Linked DNA regions of Pelodiscus sinensis. The protein of the gene in region 2 purifies or fractionates together with the protein of the main gene of each other region. This does not show direct contact. Links are inferred from orthologs where the notes say so. Each region holds a gene or a part of one and is shown on either strand. Other genes may lie near its edges.

Evidence for each region.
Region 1: the proteins of MECOM (region 2) and SUV39H1 purify together in Homo sapiens (affinity purification with western blotting; 3 studies listed by BioGRID). This does not show direct contact. The link is inferred for Pelodiscus sinensis from reciprocal best matches to the Homo sapiens genes MECOM and SUV39H1.

The regions. Positions count from the first base shown.
Region 1 is NW_027466045.1:208,535-216,904, reverse strand, and holds the start of SUV39H1 (histone-lysine N-methyltransferase SUV39H1), read right to left. Parts: upstream 3,480-8,370; 5' UTR 3,349-3,479; coding exon 3,330-3,348; intron 2,094-3,329; coding exon 1,948-2,093; intron 763-1,947; coding exon 94-762; intron 1-93. Other genes in the region: actin nucleation-promoting factor WAS, read right to left, coding at 5,630-5,685, 5,771-5,876, 6,215-6,636, 6,859-7,012, 8,293-8,335. UniProt on the Homo sapiens protein: Histone methyltransferase that specifically trimethylates 'Lys-9' of histone H3 using monomethylated H3 'Lys-9' as substrate. Also weakly methylates histone H1 (in vitro).
Region 2 is NC_134720.1:38,257,023-38,265,182, forward strand, and holds the start of MECOM (histone-lysine N-methyltransferase MECOM), read right to left. Parts: upstream 3,654-8,160; 5' UTR 3,520-3,653; coding exon 3,483-3,519; intron 1,225-3,482; exon of another isoform or gene 1,116-1,224; intron 876-1,115; exon of another isoform or gene 807-875; intron 1-806.

The DNA.
Region 1 (8,370 bases), on a different chromosome or scaffold from region 2:
ATCGCAGTGCCAGGCAGGCCCCCGTTTCATGACATTGGGTGCAGCTGTCCCCTGGCCGCCCCACCCAATAGGTGGCTGCCTGGAGCTCCCTACCTCTCCCACGTACTCCATGACGAAGCTGTTCTTGCGGATCGTCTCCAGGGTGCGCACGCCCCAGCCACGCCCGTTGGCGGTGCGGAAGATGCACAGGTCGTAGCGGATGCCCCGCTGCACCACACGGTTGGAGCACTCTGCCCCGCAGCGGCACCGAGAGTTGCACTCGTAGATGGGCAGCCCCGCCCGGATGCGGACCTGGCCCAGCTCGTTGTAGGCGAACTTGTGGTGGGAGGCACCGGGGCAGCAACAGCCGGCGGCGGCCTCGGCCAGACAGTTGCGACACTCGCAGCCCACCGCCACCTGGGTGAGGGAGATGCCCTCGCCCACCTTGTACTCGTTGATGTAGATGAAGTCCCGGGGTGGCCCGTCCAGATCCACCTCGTTTTCCACCACGATGTGCCCCTTGTGGTTGCGCTTGGCGTTCAGTTGGCGCTCCCAGTGCCGCAGGGCCCGCCGCTGCTTGGCCTTCTGCACCACGTAGTTGGCCACGCCCTGGTCCAGCCAACGGGCATTCTTCTTGGGCTTGCCGTCCCGCCGGATCCAGGCCTGCTCCAGGTCCTTGTGGAACTGCTTCAGCAGGCCCATGCAGTGCAGGTTCTTCCGCGGCTCCCAGGTGTTCTCGGACTCTGGGTAACCACGCCACTTCACCAGGTAGAACTCCTCCTCCTGCCAGCAGAGCCCCCATCAGCCAGGCCCTCTCTCGGGGTGGAACCCGGGCTCCCAGCTTCCGGCTCCCCTCCCAGAGCCAGGGAGAGAATCCAGGAGTCCTGGCTCCTGGCCATCCCCCCGTGCACACACACTGTTCTAACCACTGGACACCCCCCAGAGAGAAGCTAGGAATTTTAGATGGCTTCCACAGGGTCTTTACCAGACACACTCCAGCACCCGGCTGTTTATGCACCAGGCCTGTCTCAGAGCCCACCCAGCGGAGGTAGAGAGAGGAAGGTGCAGGCAGAATCAGTCCCAGGCAGCGCCATGTGTTTGGGGGTGCCAGGCAGAGGGGGTGAGAATGAGAAGGGTGCTGGAGGAGGAGATCAGAGACAGAACACTGGTAGGCAGAGGGGAGCAGGATGGGGGGGGGGGGCCCAAGGGAAGGAGATTGTGCTGCATGAGAAATCAGGAGTAGAGGAGGATCCTACCAAGGGTGGGGGGTAAGAACTGGCGGCTCAGGGGAAGGGGATCTGGACTATGACGGGGAACTCAAGGCTAGAAGAGCTGGGCTGTGGGGGAGATTGCAAGCAGGGGTTTCTAAACTCTGGGAGTGATCCGGGCTATAGGGTGGGGAAACTGGAGGCTGGAGGATACAGGCTGAAAGGGGAAGGAAAGTATGGGAGGGGGAACTGAACACAGAGGTTTCTGGGGATCTGGGTTTAAGGGCAGGAATTAGAGACAGGGAAATCCAGGCTGCTGGGGGTGGAAACTGGAGACAGGGGGATTGGAGGTAGGGGGAATCCGGGCTGCCGGCGAGAGGGTGGGGGAGGAACAGGGAATCTGGGCTGCCCGAAGGGCGGGGGGGGTGAGGAATTAGAGATAGGGGGAATCCAGGCTGCCGGGGTGGGGGCAAGACAATTGGAGGTGGGAGGAATCCAGTCAGGGGAGAGGAATTGGAGGCCGGCTGCAGTGGGAATTGGATGTGGGGGTTTCTGGGCTCTCGGGGGAATCCAAGCTGCGGAGGGGAATTGGAGTCGGGAGATCTGGGCTGTGGGGCGAAAGAATCAGAGGCAAGAAAGAGTGAGGCTGCGGAGGGGAATTGGAAGCAGGGGGTCGGGCTGCAGGAGTGTGGGGCTTTCCCTGCTGCAGGGGTGGGGATCCTGGAAGGGATCGGGGTTGCGGGCTGGCAGACGGACTCACCCGCACTCTCTTGTAGTCGCACAGGAACTCCACCTCGAACTGGCTGAGGTTCCTGCGCGTGATGCCCAGCGAGGGGCAGCAAACCCTCTCCAGCCGGCACAGGTCCTGCAGCTGCGACCACGAGGACTTGCAGTATACGACACAGCCTGCGGGCACAAGGGACGACTAGGGGGCTGGTACTGTCCTGGCAGGGAGGGAGCCCAGGGCTGGGGTTGTAGGGAGCTGCAGGTTGGGTGTGAGGGGCCGGGGCAGGGGGAGCGGCTCACCCATGCAGAGCACGTGGTTAGCATGAGCGCCCAGGGAGAGGTCGCCGTGCCTAGTGAGTACTGGTGTGAGCATCTGCTGGGGGTCAAGGGTTCACCCACATCAAGGTGTGGCCGGGCGGCTGGTCTGAGCATCCAGGAGGTGGCCACCCCGTATCCAAAGGTCTGTGGGTGTCCAGGGGCTCACACCATCCTGGGGCTGGTGTGACCGTCCGGAAAAGTCAGTCTGAGTGTCTGGGGATGGATTGCCTTGTGCCAGGGCGTGAGCGTCCACGGCAGGTCACCCCAAACCAGGGGGCTGGCACAAGCACACGGGGCATCAACCCATGTCGGGGCAGGTGTGTGCCCAGAGGGGTCGCACCGTGTCAGGGTTAGTGTGAGTGTACCGGGGGGGGGGGGGGCAGGTTGGGGTGGGCGGGAGCATACGGGGGGGATGCGACAGGTCGGGAGCGTACGGGGGGGGTTGCCAGGTTCAGGGGGGTGTGGGAGCGTATGGGGGGGGTTGCCAGGTTCGGGGGGGTGGGAGCGTACGGGGGGGGTTGCCAGGTTCGGGGGGGGCGGGAGCGTACGGGGGGGTTGCCAGGTTCGGGGGGGGTAGCGTACGGGGGGGTTGCCAGGTTCGGGGGGGGCGGGAGCGTACGGGGGGGGTTGCCAGGTTCGGGGGGGGTAGCGTACGGGGGGGTTGCCAGGTTCGGGAGGGGGGTTGCCAGGTCGGGGGGGGGCAGCAGCGTACGGGGGGCTGGAGCACATGGGGGGGCAATGCCAGCCTGCCAGGCAGGGGTGCCCTGTGCCAGGAAGTGAGGGGGCCCCTCGGGGCCCCTGCGGGTCACGTGCGCCCCTCCCCCCGCCCACTACAGGCTGCCTGGTTTCCCGCCCTGCGCGCGAGCAGCAGCCCCGCGCCCGTTCCAGTCGCGCGCGCGCTCAGACTCGCCCCTGCCCCCCCCCCTTTAACGGTCGCCGCGGGCCGCCTCGCGCGCGGGGAAAGAAGGCGGGGGGGGGGTGGGGAGAGACTCTCGCGCCGCAACTCGTAGCAGCCCCCCTCCCTGCGCCGCCCCCTCCCGCCGCGCGCCCTGCTCGGCCTCGCGCCACGCTCCGCGCGCGCCGGCTTCCCTCGCTCACCTTTTAAATTTTCCGCCATCTTTTTTTTTTCCCCCTGCAGCCACTGGGGCCGCCCGAAACTTTTCCTCCCAGGGGGCGTGGCCGAAGCGCGGGGGGGAGGGGAGAGCGACGTGCCCCGCCCCCTCCACCGCGGGCGTTCTTATTGGGTGGCCGACCTGACTGACGTGCCCGCCAGCCAATGGCCGCCGGAGGCCCCGGCAGCGGGCCTCATTTGCATCTCCCACAGTGCCCCGCGCCGCCGTGCACCCTCACGACTCGCGGAAATGGCCCCAAAGGCACCAAATTAACCCGTTTTCTCCCAGTGCGAGTCACAGGCCGCCATGCGGGGCCAGCCCGACGCCACGCAGGGTGGGGAAGGGAGAGAAAGGTCCTCACCCTAGCCTAGAAGTGTCTCCCCAGCCCTAAACACCATGTCCCCTCTCCCCCACAATGCAATTCTCCTCAGCCAATGAGGGTCCCTGGCACTAGTGGGGGATGGGGGCTGGTGTCACCCATGCGCCAACGTCAATTGGGGGGGCTGGTGTCACCCATGCGCCGACGTCAATGCTGGGGGGGGGCGGTTGGTGTCACCCATGCGCCAACGTCAATGCTGGGGGGGGGCGGTTGGTGTCACCCATGCGCCAACGTCTATGCTGGGGGGGGGAGGCTGGTGTTACCCAGGCACCAACGTGGTGGTGGGGAAGCTGGCATAACCCATGCGCCAATATCAGTGCTGGGAGGGAAGGTTGATGTCACCCATGCGCCAACGCCAATGCTGGGTCCCCAGGCATCACCAGCAAGGTGCCAATGACAAGGCTGGGGAAAGGGTGAGAAACTCCAACACCAATGACAAAAGCCACCTTGGGAGCCGGAGGTGCGCGGGGGGGGGGGGGGGGGGTTCCAAGTGCTTGGCTCCCGGGCTGGCACTCTGAGCTGTTGCCCAGTCATGGGAAAGGAAAAACCTGGTTGGGTGGTTTTGCAGGGTGGGGCGCAAGGCCTGGTAAAACTAGACAGGAAAGGCCCCCCCCTGCCTCGTTCGCCAGTTCTGTGCCCCACCCCAGAAGCGGCTGCATCCCTCCGCCAGCCAAGCGAATGCCCCGTGCTTTGGGATTGCTGCCATGAAAGCAACTGGAGAAACAATTGATGGTAACTGTGTTTAATAAAAATCAAAGGAGCAACAATCGTTTTGTCTGGCTCAGTCTGCAGAGGGAGCCTGCAGCAAGACGACCCTTAAAGGTTAAAGCAACAGGGACAATAAACCCCTATTAAACAAATCAAAATTCATAGGCTTTTGATGGGTAAATCCCAGTCAATGTCCATTTCACCCACACACACAACCCCAGGGGGAAAGGCGCTTCTATTAATAACTGTCAAAACAGAGAGCTAGGCAAAGAAAAAACAAACCTGGCTGCTTGAGAACATGGTTGAATGTGAGCTGAGGCTATTGACTCAGCATTTGGGTGAAGGGTTTTTAAGCTTTCACTTTTCCATCTCAAACCCTCTAGGAAATCATTATTGCCTGACTCCCCCTCCCCACCCGCCTTCGAACTAACCGCGAGACGAGCCGTCAAACTGACGGAAAAGTAAAAGTCGAGATCCGAAACCAAATTAAAAACTCCATGGCGGCCAAGCCTTGAGATGAACAAGCCATAATTCACAAGCAATAAAACTAGGCGCTAGCTTTGCAGCTGCTCTGGGTGACAGTCGAAATGGAGATTATGTTTTTTTATGGCCCTCAGTGGCGTGGAAAATTCACCCCCGTTACCAAGCCGGCCTAAGCCCGCTTGGTAACGGGGGTGTGGAGGCGGCTAAGGATTCTTCCTTCCACCTCGCTACCGTCGCTCGGCAATCAGACCCTTTCAACGGGCTGTTGGAAGCGTCACCGCTCCTCCTGATCAAAGTCTCTTGTTTCCAGTCCTATCCCTCGGACACTGACCCAAACCAGCGGGTTTCAATCCCCCCTGAAGCCTGCACTGTTGACCCCTGGCGGCCGCCTGAGCCCCACATATCGGTGGCTCGGTTCCAGCTTGGCTTGTTTTTTAGGATTGGGTTGAGATGGAATCATGGAGCCAAGCGGGAAGGTGATGGGTTGGGTTGTTTCTGACACCAAAGAGGCCAGTGGAAACTGGGTTTGAAGGGGTGACAGGCGTGGAAGGGGGAGGCTGGGGGGATTCTGGGTAAAAGACGGGGCAGCCCACATCAGGCGAGAGCTGTCTTTATTAAAAAAGGGGCCAGGCGGGCACGGGAATCCCAGAGGCGAGGGGGCGGCATTGGTCTGTGGGAGGGGGTGCAGAAAAGGGGGGGGTTCCTGCAGCGGGGGCTCAGTCGTCCCATTCATCATCCTCATCCTCGTCCCCTCCGTTGTCCTCGCCTTCGTCTGCGGGAGGAAGAGGAGGGTGAGCGGGTGCAGGGGGCGGGGCGGGGGGAGGAGGGGGCCCCCGTGGCAGGTTGGGGCGACTCACCCGAGGAGTGGATCACTTTGCTCCGTTTCTGCATGACGTGCATGAGCGCCCCCACCAGGCCCTCGGAGCTCTGCGCGGGCGGCGGGGAGTCCAGCATCTCGGGGGTCTGCAAGGCAGGGGGGTCAGGGCCCGCAGCACCCATCCCCTGACCCCGCCACCCCGGCACTGCCGACCCCCTGCCACTTCCCCCACCCTCACCCAAAGCCTCCTCTAACTCCCCCCTCATCGCCCCACACAGCCAGCCGCCCCCTCCCCACCCTGCTCCCCTCAGTCCATATCCCACCCCGTCCTCTACTCCCTTAGCCCCCCATCGCCTCCTTCCCCACTCCCAGCCATCCCCCCACCCCTCACTTTTTCCATCCCTGCCCCCCATCACCTAACTCATCTCCCCTCTTCCCTTCCCTCATCCTGCCCCCCGTCTGCCCCACAGCCCACCCCACTCACCTTGTTGAGCTGGATGCCTTGGCGGATCTGGTCCAGCAGGGCCCCACGTCCCTTTGGGGCAGTAGGGGCCTGAACCCCGGGGGAGCTGAGCCCCCCTGAGGGAGGTGGGGGAGGAGGACAAGGTCCTGAAGAGACAGGAGGTGGAGGGGGTGGCGGGGGAGGTGGGGGTGGAGGAGCTGCCCCAGCAGGGGGCGGAGGAGGTGGGGGACCAGACCGGGAAGAAGGGGGAGGGGGCCCACGAGGGGGAGGCAGTTGTCCCCTGGGGGGCTGGGAGGGAACAGCCCCCCTGTTTGGTGCAGATGAGGGGGGCGGGGGGGCACCTGGAATGGGGGGCAATGGGCCAGACCTGCCCCTTCCTGAGGCTGGGGGTGGGGGGGGAAGGGGCCCAGACCGAGTCGGGGGAGGCGGAGGAGGTGCCGGACCTGTGGGGAGAAATAGCTGCAATTAAAACGAGGCCCTTCGCCCCACACCAAATCCCCTGAGGATTCCAAAGCGCCACATGGGGAGACTGAGATGCAGCCACCGCTGGGGCAGGGCAGAGGGAGAAAGGCTGCATATAACGCCAACCCCGAGAGGCAGCCCCCTCTGGGGAAGAGGAGCTGGGGAAAAGCGGCCGCATTTCATGTCCCAAAGGGAGGGCTCACCCTGGCGTCGAAGCTCCTCCTTCACAGCCTCCAGCCCGCCTTGGCCCTCGATGAAATCGTAGATGATCTTGGAGGTCTCTGCGTCGGTCAGCTGCGCCTCGCTGATCCCAGCCTGGGAGAAGAGCGTCTTCAGGTCGGGGTCCAGGTTATTCACCTAGGAGAGACACATGGAGAGGAAATCCAGAGACAGGCGATTGATGGATCATGCCTTAAATTAGCCCCGCCCTGTAGCCAGCACTAGGCCCCAGGCACCCCCTCATTCTGACCCCCTAAAATCCTGACCTCCGAAATGCAGCAGGCAGCTGGGGCTGTTCCTGAAAGGATCCAACTGGAAAGTTATGGCAGCTGTCCCACCCCAGAGCTGGCTTCATCTCCGTGCCAAGCAAGCCGTCCCCATGGTGTGTTATATGCAGCTGTTCCCAGCTGCCCTGCCCCAGAGATGGCTGCATCTCAGCGCCAGGGGAGCCTTCCCCATGTGGTTTTATATGGGGCTGATCCCAGTTGTCCCAGCCAAGAGGTGGTTGCATTTCAGCACCAGGTGAGCCTGCCCCAGGTGGTGTTATATAGGAGTGTTGCCACCCAGCCTACCCCAGTGGTGGCTGCATCTCAGCATCAGACGGGCCATCCCCTTGCGAAGTCTCGTGCCCAGATTATTGGCCGCTGCCTCCGAGGGCCGACAAAACACGGGGCCATCCACAGCCCCAAGCTGTGACACTCCACAGGCCTTCTGTTAATTCCCAACTGAGCCCCACGGAACCCATCCCATCTGGAGTCCAAAAACATCGGGGGGCTAGGACCAGGCCTTGCGCCAGCCGGATCCTGCTACCTGCAGCAGCGCCCCCAGCTGGCTGCGCCTTGCCCTTGTCCCGAGGGCATGCTCTAACCTGGCCGCTGCCAAGAATAGCCATGCTGCCAGTCCCCCAGTGCCTTGGGGGTAGGCTCAGAGCCAGGGATCTGCCCCTAAGGACAGGCAAAGATGCATGGGGAGAAAAAGATGTGTTTGGAAAAGGAGGGGGCACAGGGAGGCAGTATCTTAGGCAGTCCGGGCTCAAGTGAACTGCACGTTTGCTCCCCTAATGCTCCATGGGGATGACTCCCCATGCACTGAGTTGCAGCCACCTCTGGGGTGGGGCAGTTGGGGAACAGCTGCACATAACGCTGCTTTGGGATAGCTGATCTGACGCTAAGATGCAGCCACTTCAGGGGCAGAGCAGCAGGGGAACAGCCATGCACATCAATTGAAGCACAGTCACCCAGCACATCAAGTCCGGTAGTCACAAACACGAGGGAACACCCTTTCACTCCCTCCCCCCCATGCACAAACATTGCTAATGCCAAAGCTTTGCCCCCCAGCCTGTCCTTGGCCCCCTGCCCTGGGACCTCCCATCCCTTGGCCCACGGGGACAGCCCTCTGCTGTCTCTGGAGCTACATACATCAAAGCCGGTGGTGGGGTCCCATCCCACGTGGGTGACGTGCCTGTAAATGGAACAAAGATTAGCCAGGTGCCCTGC
Region 2 (8,160 bases):
TCTAAACTTCCAAGGTTTTCTTTGACGAAATATACAAAAAAGTTTTGAGAGACTATTTACAAAGTGCCAAATGCAATAAAGAAGTACTAAGCCAGCAGTAATAGTATAGTAATGGCAAATAAACAGCCTTTCTGCAGGGGACTGGCAAACATTTCCCTTTTCAAAAACAAATCCCCGTACAGAGTCTTAAACAGGCAAATAAACTTGCCAGCTCTGTTTTTCAGTCAAGGCTTTTAAGTACGAGACTGAGGCAAGTTACAGGAGCAGGAAAACCTGCTGCAACTCGTGCAACTTATTTCATTCTTTCAGATGGTTAAGATGTCTCTGGACCTACCTCGACTGCCCTAAATTGCCTGCTTTAAAAAACGGTGATAAAGTGAAAGAGTAGCAAGTGCCCCCTTCTTCACGTGCGTTCTCCTAATCTGACCACCTTCTGTCTCTTTATGAGGCTACTGGGTGGCTAATGGCTACCAGTGGTTTAAACTGCACTACTTGTTCGGTGCACGGGGTTGAGTTCTGTGAAGTGTCACTTTTCAGAAGTGATTTTCATTCAGGGTTACAGTTTCATCAGTCGGACCAAAAAAAAAAAAGCCACAGTGTGACACACTTATATCACCAGTGATGGTCACTGTTAATTACTATCGCCGTGCAGGTGCAACCTGTAACTTTAAAAATTTGCAAAATTACAGTATCTCTACTGTCACTGAGACTGGTCGAGACCTTTGTAATTTGCACACTGTATTCAGACTTCATTTTGAATATGCCTTAAAAAAGATATCTTGCCCCTTTTTCCTTTATTTTTACAGCTGGAGGTATAAAATATTCACTAACTATTCGCAGCTTGGCTTCTTTTGTTTCTTCTGAGATTTTTTTAGGTAAGCAAAAAAAACCCTTAACTTGCTATTTCAATATATACAGAGAAAATATAAGCAGCTAATTCCCCTTGTTTAATTATGAGCAGACCTTTCCCGACTCGTGGTGTAGTCACATTTTGTGGGGGTGTTGTCTCTAGTTTGTTTTACACTCAAAGAAGTTAAAGTGGAATAAGACAACTCCAATTGTATCATGAATCGGTTGCTTTTCCAAAAGTTACAGCCACAATTTTTTTTCCACAGCTCCGCAATAAAATAATGAAGAGAAGGGGTCACAGGACGAAACCAAAAACTGAAAACTTTTCTTGTTGAATGATTGAATTACAGGGGTCACCAATAATCCCCCCCCCCCACGCTCCACACACACACACACACACACTAACGCGCGCACACACACGCCAGGAACCTCACACGCTATTCGAAGGAGAAAGGAAAGAGGTTTCAACATGCAAAAATCTCAACTTTTTCGTAAGATTTCCTTTATGAGCGTATTGTAACCGATAGACTATACAATGCAACGCGTCTAGCTTCTGCCGCCGCAGCAACTGCCAAGACATGCAACTCAAAGAAGAAAGTTTGAAAATGGTCAGATCTAAGCACTGCAAAGCTGCAGCAGTCCAGAAGCGTTAAGGGAAATGCATATTCACATTTGCTAGCGAGTGTAATACAAGAATTTCACAATTAGCCTGAAAGCAGGGATGATGTCCTGGAAGCTTATTTGTTTCCAAATTGTGTTGATGGATCCAGTTTAAAATCAGCTAATGAAATATAGGTACTTTTGCTGTCGTTAAGTTTCACAGAAAAGTAGATCTTTTGCTTTTCCTTTTCTCTGTTCACATTTTCCCCCACTAGTAGACATAAAACCGACGATTGGTTATATATTATGTTATGAAACGTTTCATCTGCCGTTTTCCGGCACAATTTCAGATGGAAAAGAAAGTTGTCATTGAGACACGCATCAACTGGAACTTGCCTATGTTATATACCTCGTCACAACCACAAATAAAAGCCATCCCTTGGATTTAAAAGAAGACTCGAAGACTACTTTTTTTGGCAACTGTTGCAATGAAAATATCATGATCACTGTCAAAAAGGAGAAGATGGAGTGCCTGTAACACAGCCGTATTTATGTCGATTGCTGAGACCCAAGCCGACACAATACAGACCTCGGGCAGCCGAACTGAATGAACTGTAAGTAAAGCGCCTGAAATTATAGCATGCAGACCAACTTCAGCGTGTGATTCCAGACTGACTGCACTGATGGCCCAAATCACTTCTCCCTCTCCCCAACTAACTCCACTTCGGAGGAGTCACGGCCGAACACCACCGCCCTGGGCTAGTGCTGAGACCAAGGGTGTTATTCGGTGTTATTTTTTTAACCCGACCAGAACACTCGATCCGGAGGAGACATAGTGGAAAGTTGCAGGAAAGCACTTGAAGAACGAAACCGTGCGGCCTCGTTGCGCAGCGCGGGATCCCCAGCGCCCTGCTACCTCGCGCCTTCAGAGAGATCCGGCGCGAGTCTGTTTGCACCTTTGCCCAGCGCAGGGCGAGTTTAACTTACGCTAAAACCACAGGCATCCCAATCTGCTCAACCAGCCTTGCCCTCTGTCACTCGGGGCGCGCTGCCTTTGACAGCTGCTGCAACGCTGCACCCAGGACAGAAACGGGAAAATTCCCCCCACAGCTTCCCCTTTCCTGGGTGCCTAGGAAGGGGGCGGGGGGCCCCCATTAGTGCAGAGTTCCCAGCTGATCCTTCAACTAAAATAATGAAATAATAATAAAATAAAATCATGACTTTCTGCGCCTCCTCCCTACCACCAATGCAAGAGGAGAAGGAGCCCGGGCGCTTCCTGGGCTCACAAGTCGCAACCACACACCTCAGTGTGGAGAAAACGGTGGGGGGGGGGGGTCGGAGCTGGAAGGTCCCTGACCCGCCCTCCTTCGCAAAGTTCCGCTAGGTACAAGTGCAGAGCACGAGCTAGGACGCCCTCCTGGGAGAGAGCGAGCCCTTGCGCCCTCTCTCCCCCCCACCTGCCTAGACTCCCCTGCTTTGCCGGCTGGTAGCTCGGAGTAAGACCTGCCGCCTAACTCCCCCCCCCCCCCCCTTTCTCCGGACACCCCTCCCCTCCTGCGCTTGCAGAGAGCCGACAGCGCCCACTAGGGTCCTAGCTCCTCCTCGCAGCCCCGGCGGCAGCAGCCACCGCTCAACTTCCAGCGCTCGCCTCTGAACTTTTCCTCAACTCCTTCTCCGCCTCCCTGCGCCTCCGCAGCCAGCCCCAGCTGCCGGGCAGCGCCTCCGCAGCGACCCCGCAGCCTCCCCCTCTCTCTAGACAAGCACCCCCTCCAGACCAGCGATCTGCCTGCTGGGGGGCTGCCTGCAATTCTCCTCCCCCCCTCCACCCCGCCTCTCCCCAAGCCTGACCCCGCGCCCGCTGTCCCCGCCGCTGCGCCGCTCCCGGGGATGCGCGCCCGGCTGGGCTCAGGAGCAGGGGTGCTGGGGCTGGAATGTTGCAGGTTGCTTTGCGCCCCCATCCCGGCGCATCAGCCATTCCATGCAACATGGCAGAGCGCGGGTGAAAAGCCAATGGAAAGGGATATTGCACCTACTTGTGGCCAGTTTCCTTGCCCTGCCTTTGGATCTCATGTTGCCAGTCCCGCGCCGCTGTTTTGGTGGGTGGGGGTAGGGGGGGTCCTCTTGGATCTTTTCCTCCTTTTTCTCCCCCTCTCTCTCTCTCACTCTCTCTCACACACACTCTCTTTCTCTCAATCCAGGCTCGCTATCTCTCCAGCATTGTCAGTTTGGACACCTTCGCACATGCGCACGGGCTGCTCCCCCCCACCACCACTCTTCAACATCTCAGCGCCGCCAAAAAAAGTTTGGAGCGATCTATCACTTTGATTTCAGGATCTTGTCAGATGGCAATCGGCGGAGGGAGGAGGCCTCCCGAGGAATGGAGCGAGGACACCTCTTCTTCTCCAATAAAAACAACCTGGCCAGGGAGATCCAGTCGCAAACAGCCAGATGCCTGGATTCTTCTTTATTCCGCCATCAACTCCACCCAGTTCCTAGCCATTATTATTATTAATTAATAAACCAGCATCGGGATAGCGCATCTAGAGCTTTTTCCTGTCCTGATCTGCTCGGCAATGGGTTCTGAGCCACTTGCCATTTACTCTGTGGGAGGCGGGGGAGGCAGATTATTCATAACAGAAGAAATCTCCCTGTTCCAGAGTTTGAGAGTAGAATAAATGGCTCTTTTTCTAACTTTTGATGTAATATTAATGATACTTTGCAACATTTCACTCGTTTACTCCTACCCTGTCGCAATCATCATAGATTTGTGGATATACACAGACACAGATGTAATTCAACTGTGTATTTTATGTAGGCATGTAATTAAATTATATACTCTTCCAAACTCTCACACACCGTCTCGCACCTTCAGTTGAGTTCAATTTTCACCCGCTGGGTAAAAAAGGCACTTTAGAAATAACCCACATTGTTTAAATCTGTTTTAATTACAGGGTTTTCCAATCAACAAGGGGACACGCTGAAACTGGGAACTCCTGTAAGGGGTGGCTCTGTTCAAGGTATGAATCAATCCAAACTACATAGATTTTCCTCTGGTACAACCTCCTTGCATTAAACAGTTTTGTTCAATACAGTCTATCCGCTATTTATGTTCCCATTAATATCTGTTGCAAATCCTGCCAGACACCATAAAAGAAAATTACAATCTTTCAGACTCGGTACTGTGCCAGTACATACATGCTGCTCAAGTTTTGGTTTTAATAAAATCTTAAGCATCACTCTCTCTTTACAAAAAAAAAAATCCTGCTGGTGTTCACTGTCAGAATCATGGCCATTTTAGGATGAAATAACACCTCTCTCTGCAGCTCTGCCGTAAGCTTACAATAGCCAACAGGATATAACCCTGCAGATCACAATGACCTTAATGAAGAGGTGTTTGTTTTAGAAACAACCACTGAACTTTGTTTAGATCATGGCAGCAAATTTCGGAACGCTACGAGCCTTTGTCCATTCCACAGAAACGTATTCACCCAACACCTGGATGATACACACACGCACGAAACAAACTGAAATTAACGATGGGCAAAGGGAATCTCTCATATGAAACACTACCCCACTTCACCTCCCCTCTCCAAATGAGGCACAAATATTTGGAATCCCATTGGAGAGCGTATTTCTTGAGCCTCATAATTATTATAGATAAAAAAGCAGCTTTTTGTGTAGGGGAAATTCAGTAATCTAGAGGGAGGACTAATAAAGCCCGACCCCTCTGTAGGAGAAAGCCGAGTGTGGGGTGAAGGAAAGAGGAGCCTCTTCTTGGTAAGGCAAGCTTAGCACACCAAGCTGCACTACCGCAGAACTTCAACAAAAGTAGCTATAAAACGACTCAACTTCTGTACTTCTCTCCTCCTCCCTCTGCAGTCACCTGTTTATTGCCCTGCTTCCCCACCCACCCCCCACTCGTGGTGTAACCGAGAAACTCAAAAGCAACATCACCCGACGCGCACCCTGCTTGGGTCTGTGCCCCGCAGCCTTGCCAGTCCATGAGGTATGGCACGCTAGGAAGCGGGGCATTCAGAACATTTCTTACCGGCTAGTCCGCCGGGAGAGCCACAGTGACTCACCCACCTACCCGCAATGTCGGTGTCTAGTGGGGAGTATGGAGGGGGGGGGGTGTAGTGTGTGTGCTGTAATGATTTTCCTCGTCTGACCTCTATTTAGGAATGATTGGAAATACTTTGGTTCCCAGGTGAAAGGATATGAAGTGATACCCGGTGGATTAACTGATCAGCTCAACAAAAGGTTATTATGGAAAGCATTGGGCTGGGAGTACAGCCCACAAGGGGTGGGGGAACCGGGCAGGGAGAACAAACTAATTAATTCTGGAAAAGAAGAAAAAAACGTTTAGGCTCTCTGTCACTAAACCTCCTTCCTTCTCTATCAGACATGGTTTTCTGTCGGATTCTTAAAAAGAGTTTCTTATAAAGATGAATAAGCGAACTCAAATTCGAAACCTCGTCGAGCATGTCTAAGAACGTTAACAAACTTTTTTTAGCAACACCCCCCAACGTAACTGTCCATTGTGAAGTATATTTCACTAGCTTTTCTCTGAGATCCAAAACATCACGAACACAACCAAAACAGTAAACTATCACTTGCTTTGCAGACTTACTGCGATTATTTAAACAACCTCTTGGCCCCTCGCAGCACATCTGCGCAAGAAAAGTAAGCGTCTGTATTTATACATCTTCCTGTGACATATATATTTATTCAACATATTTTAAACCGAAGACAGATATAACCTCTTTTTAGCACTTAGTTCTCTTGACCTTGGAAGACACCAGCTCTTACTCGCTAAACGCCATAGCTTGTCAGTTTCACCTGTTTAAAGTCCCAAGCGACCACAAGACCCCGAACAGGTGTCTCTCTGTGTTCCCGAATACCCAGCAAACATCTAGATTTTCATTTCGGTTGCATCAAACAGCTTTTCTGATGACTGGTCTCTCTGTCAGTAGCAGGCAGAACTTTCATAAAGTTTATCACCCTCCCAAAGAATTCCCTGGTAGACCCACTAGAAATCCGTTTCATTTCGGTTAGTCACGTTTTTAAGAGTTTCTAGCTCTCAATTCCCTTCACGTTGGAAAATGGGCACCTAGTGGATAGTAAAATTGTTGAGTGTATGTGTTTGTAGTAGAATCAGAGCCACGAAAAAAATATTTAAAAAAAGAGGGATGAAATCTATTTTAATACACGCTGAGAGTGTGGGGGAAAGCAACCCTCACGTTTCAATGTATTCCATATAACAGGAAATTTTCCCTTCCTCACATAATTGAATAAGCTCCTCCGTCTATTTGGAGGCAAGTTGGAATTCTTCATCGAGGTATTTGTTGTGCTATTATTGTCTTTGTGCAGTGAACTTTACATCGTGTGATTCAGTCTCAACCTATATTCTCCTAGCTACCAGTAAGATTAATTTAATCATTGTAATGCAATTATTAATACTGTTTACCCAACGCTTGATTTCTGCTTTGCTGTTAAGAAATTAAACCTCTTGCTGGGTGACCAAAAAGCTATGCAGGGGTTTTCAGTGCTTGTTGAAATGAAACAGTCCTCTTTATTTAGTCTCAGAACTCAGCTTTCAGCCATGGGTTCAATTAGCCAAAATGGAAACAATTTTTATTCATTGCAATAACTCACTGTTCTGCAGATCACTTTCAAAATATACACTTTATTATTATATGCTGGCCTCGATGCCGTGAAGTGGCAAGGCTAGAAAGAGGCAGAGGGATCTCTCTAGCCCCCTTGGGCTGTAATTATTAGAAATTAATTGGGTTCAAGACCCTGGGAAGCATGGATAAATTAATAGCTTGTCTGGTTGTTTAAATCCGAATTCTCAGTCCACAGGAGAAAAGGGGAGGGAGACTCACAAACGTGAAATTCAGACCCAGGAGACTATGAGTTTACTTGCAAGTTCCGTATCTATTAAACACTAATGTACAGAATACATTGCCGTGCGGAGGGAGGGGAGTGAAAGAGCTGGGTGTGTAATGGAGACGAGGAGAGTTTATTTTCTTGCCATTTTCTCCAACGCATTGTTTTCGGGGAGCGATTTAGGGGTTAAAATAAAAAAAATAAAGATCCCGTATACTTGGAGCTGTCGTGCTGGAGTAAAAGTGAAAAGGGAGCCTTAGGCAAAAGGAAATTACTGCAAGCCCGCGTGACCTTTCAGAGAGGTAATCAATCAAGTGATCAACAGGGATATTTATCATTGCTGGATGGGGCTACTTTACAAAAGCACAGAAAAGGGGGGAAAGAGACACACACACGAAAGTTTGGATAAACCCGATATGCCTAAAGACAAATACGTAGGCTTTAATCAATGGGCAGATTGCACTTTTTCCCCTTGTCTGGTATTCTAAAAAGAAAGGAAAACACTAGGAGTTTCCCAGTGGAAAATGCCTGCTTCATTAGATGTCCGCTTTAAGCTGTCTGCTTTGCTTTAAAACAGTGGGAAAGGCTGGCTTAAAATATCCAAACAAGAGAAAAATAATATAATAGGATTAAGACTGTGCTACCTTAGTAGTGTGTTAAAACATGTGCCTTTATTTACTTCTCTGAGATTGGAGAAATTGCATCGGGGAACGCGATCTTTTCTGGTTTTAAGTTCTCTCCCCTAATGGTTACTTTTCAAACAATAAAACAAACAAAAAAGTCCCGAGCTATATGGAATCGGCGATCTCGTTCAATTAAACT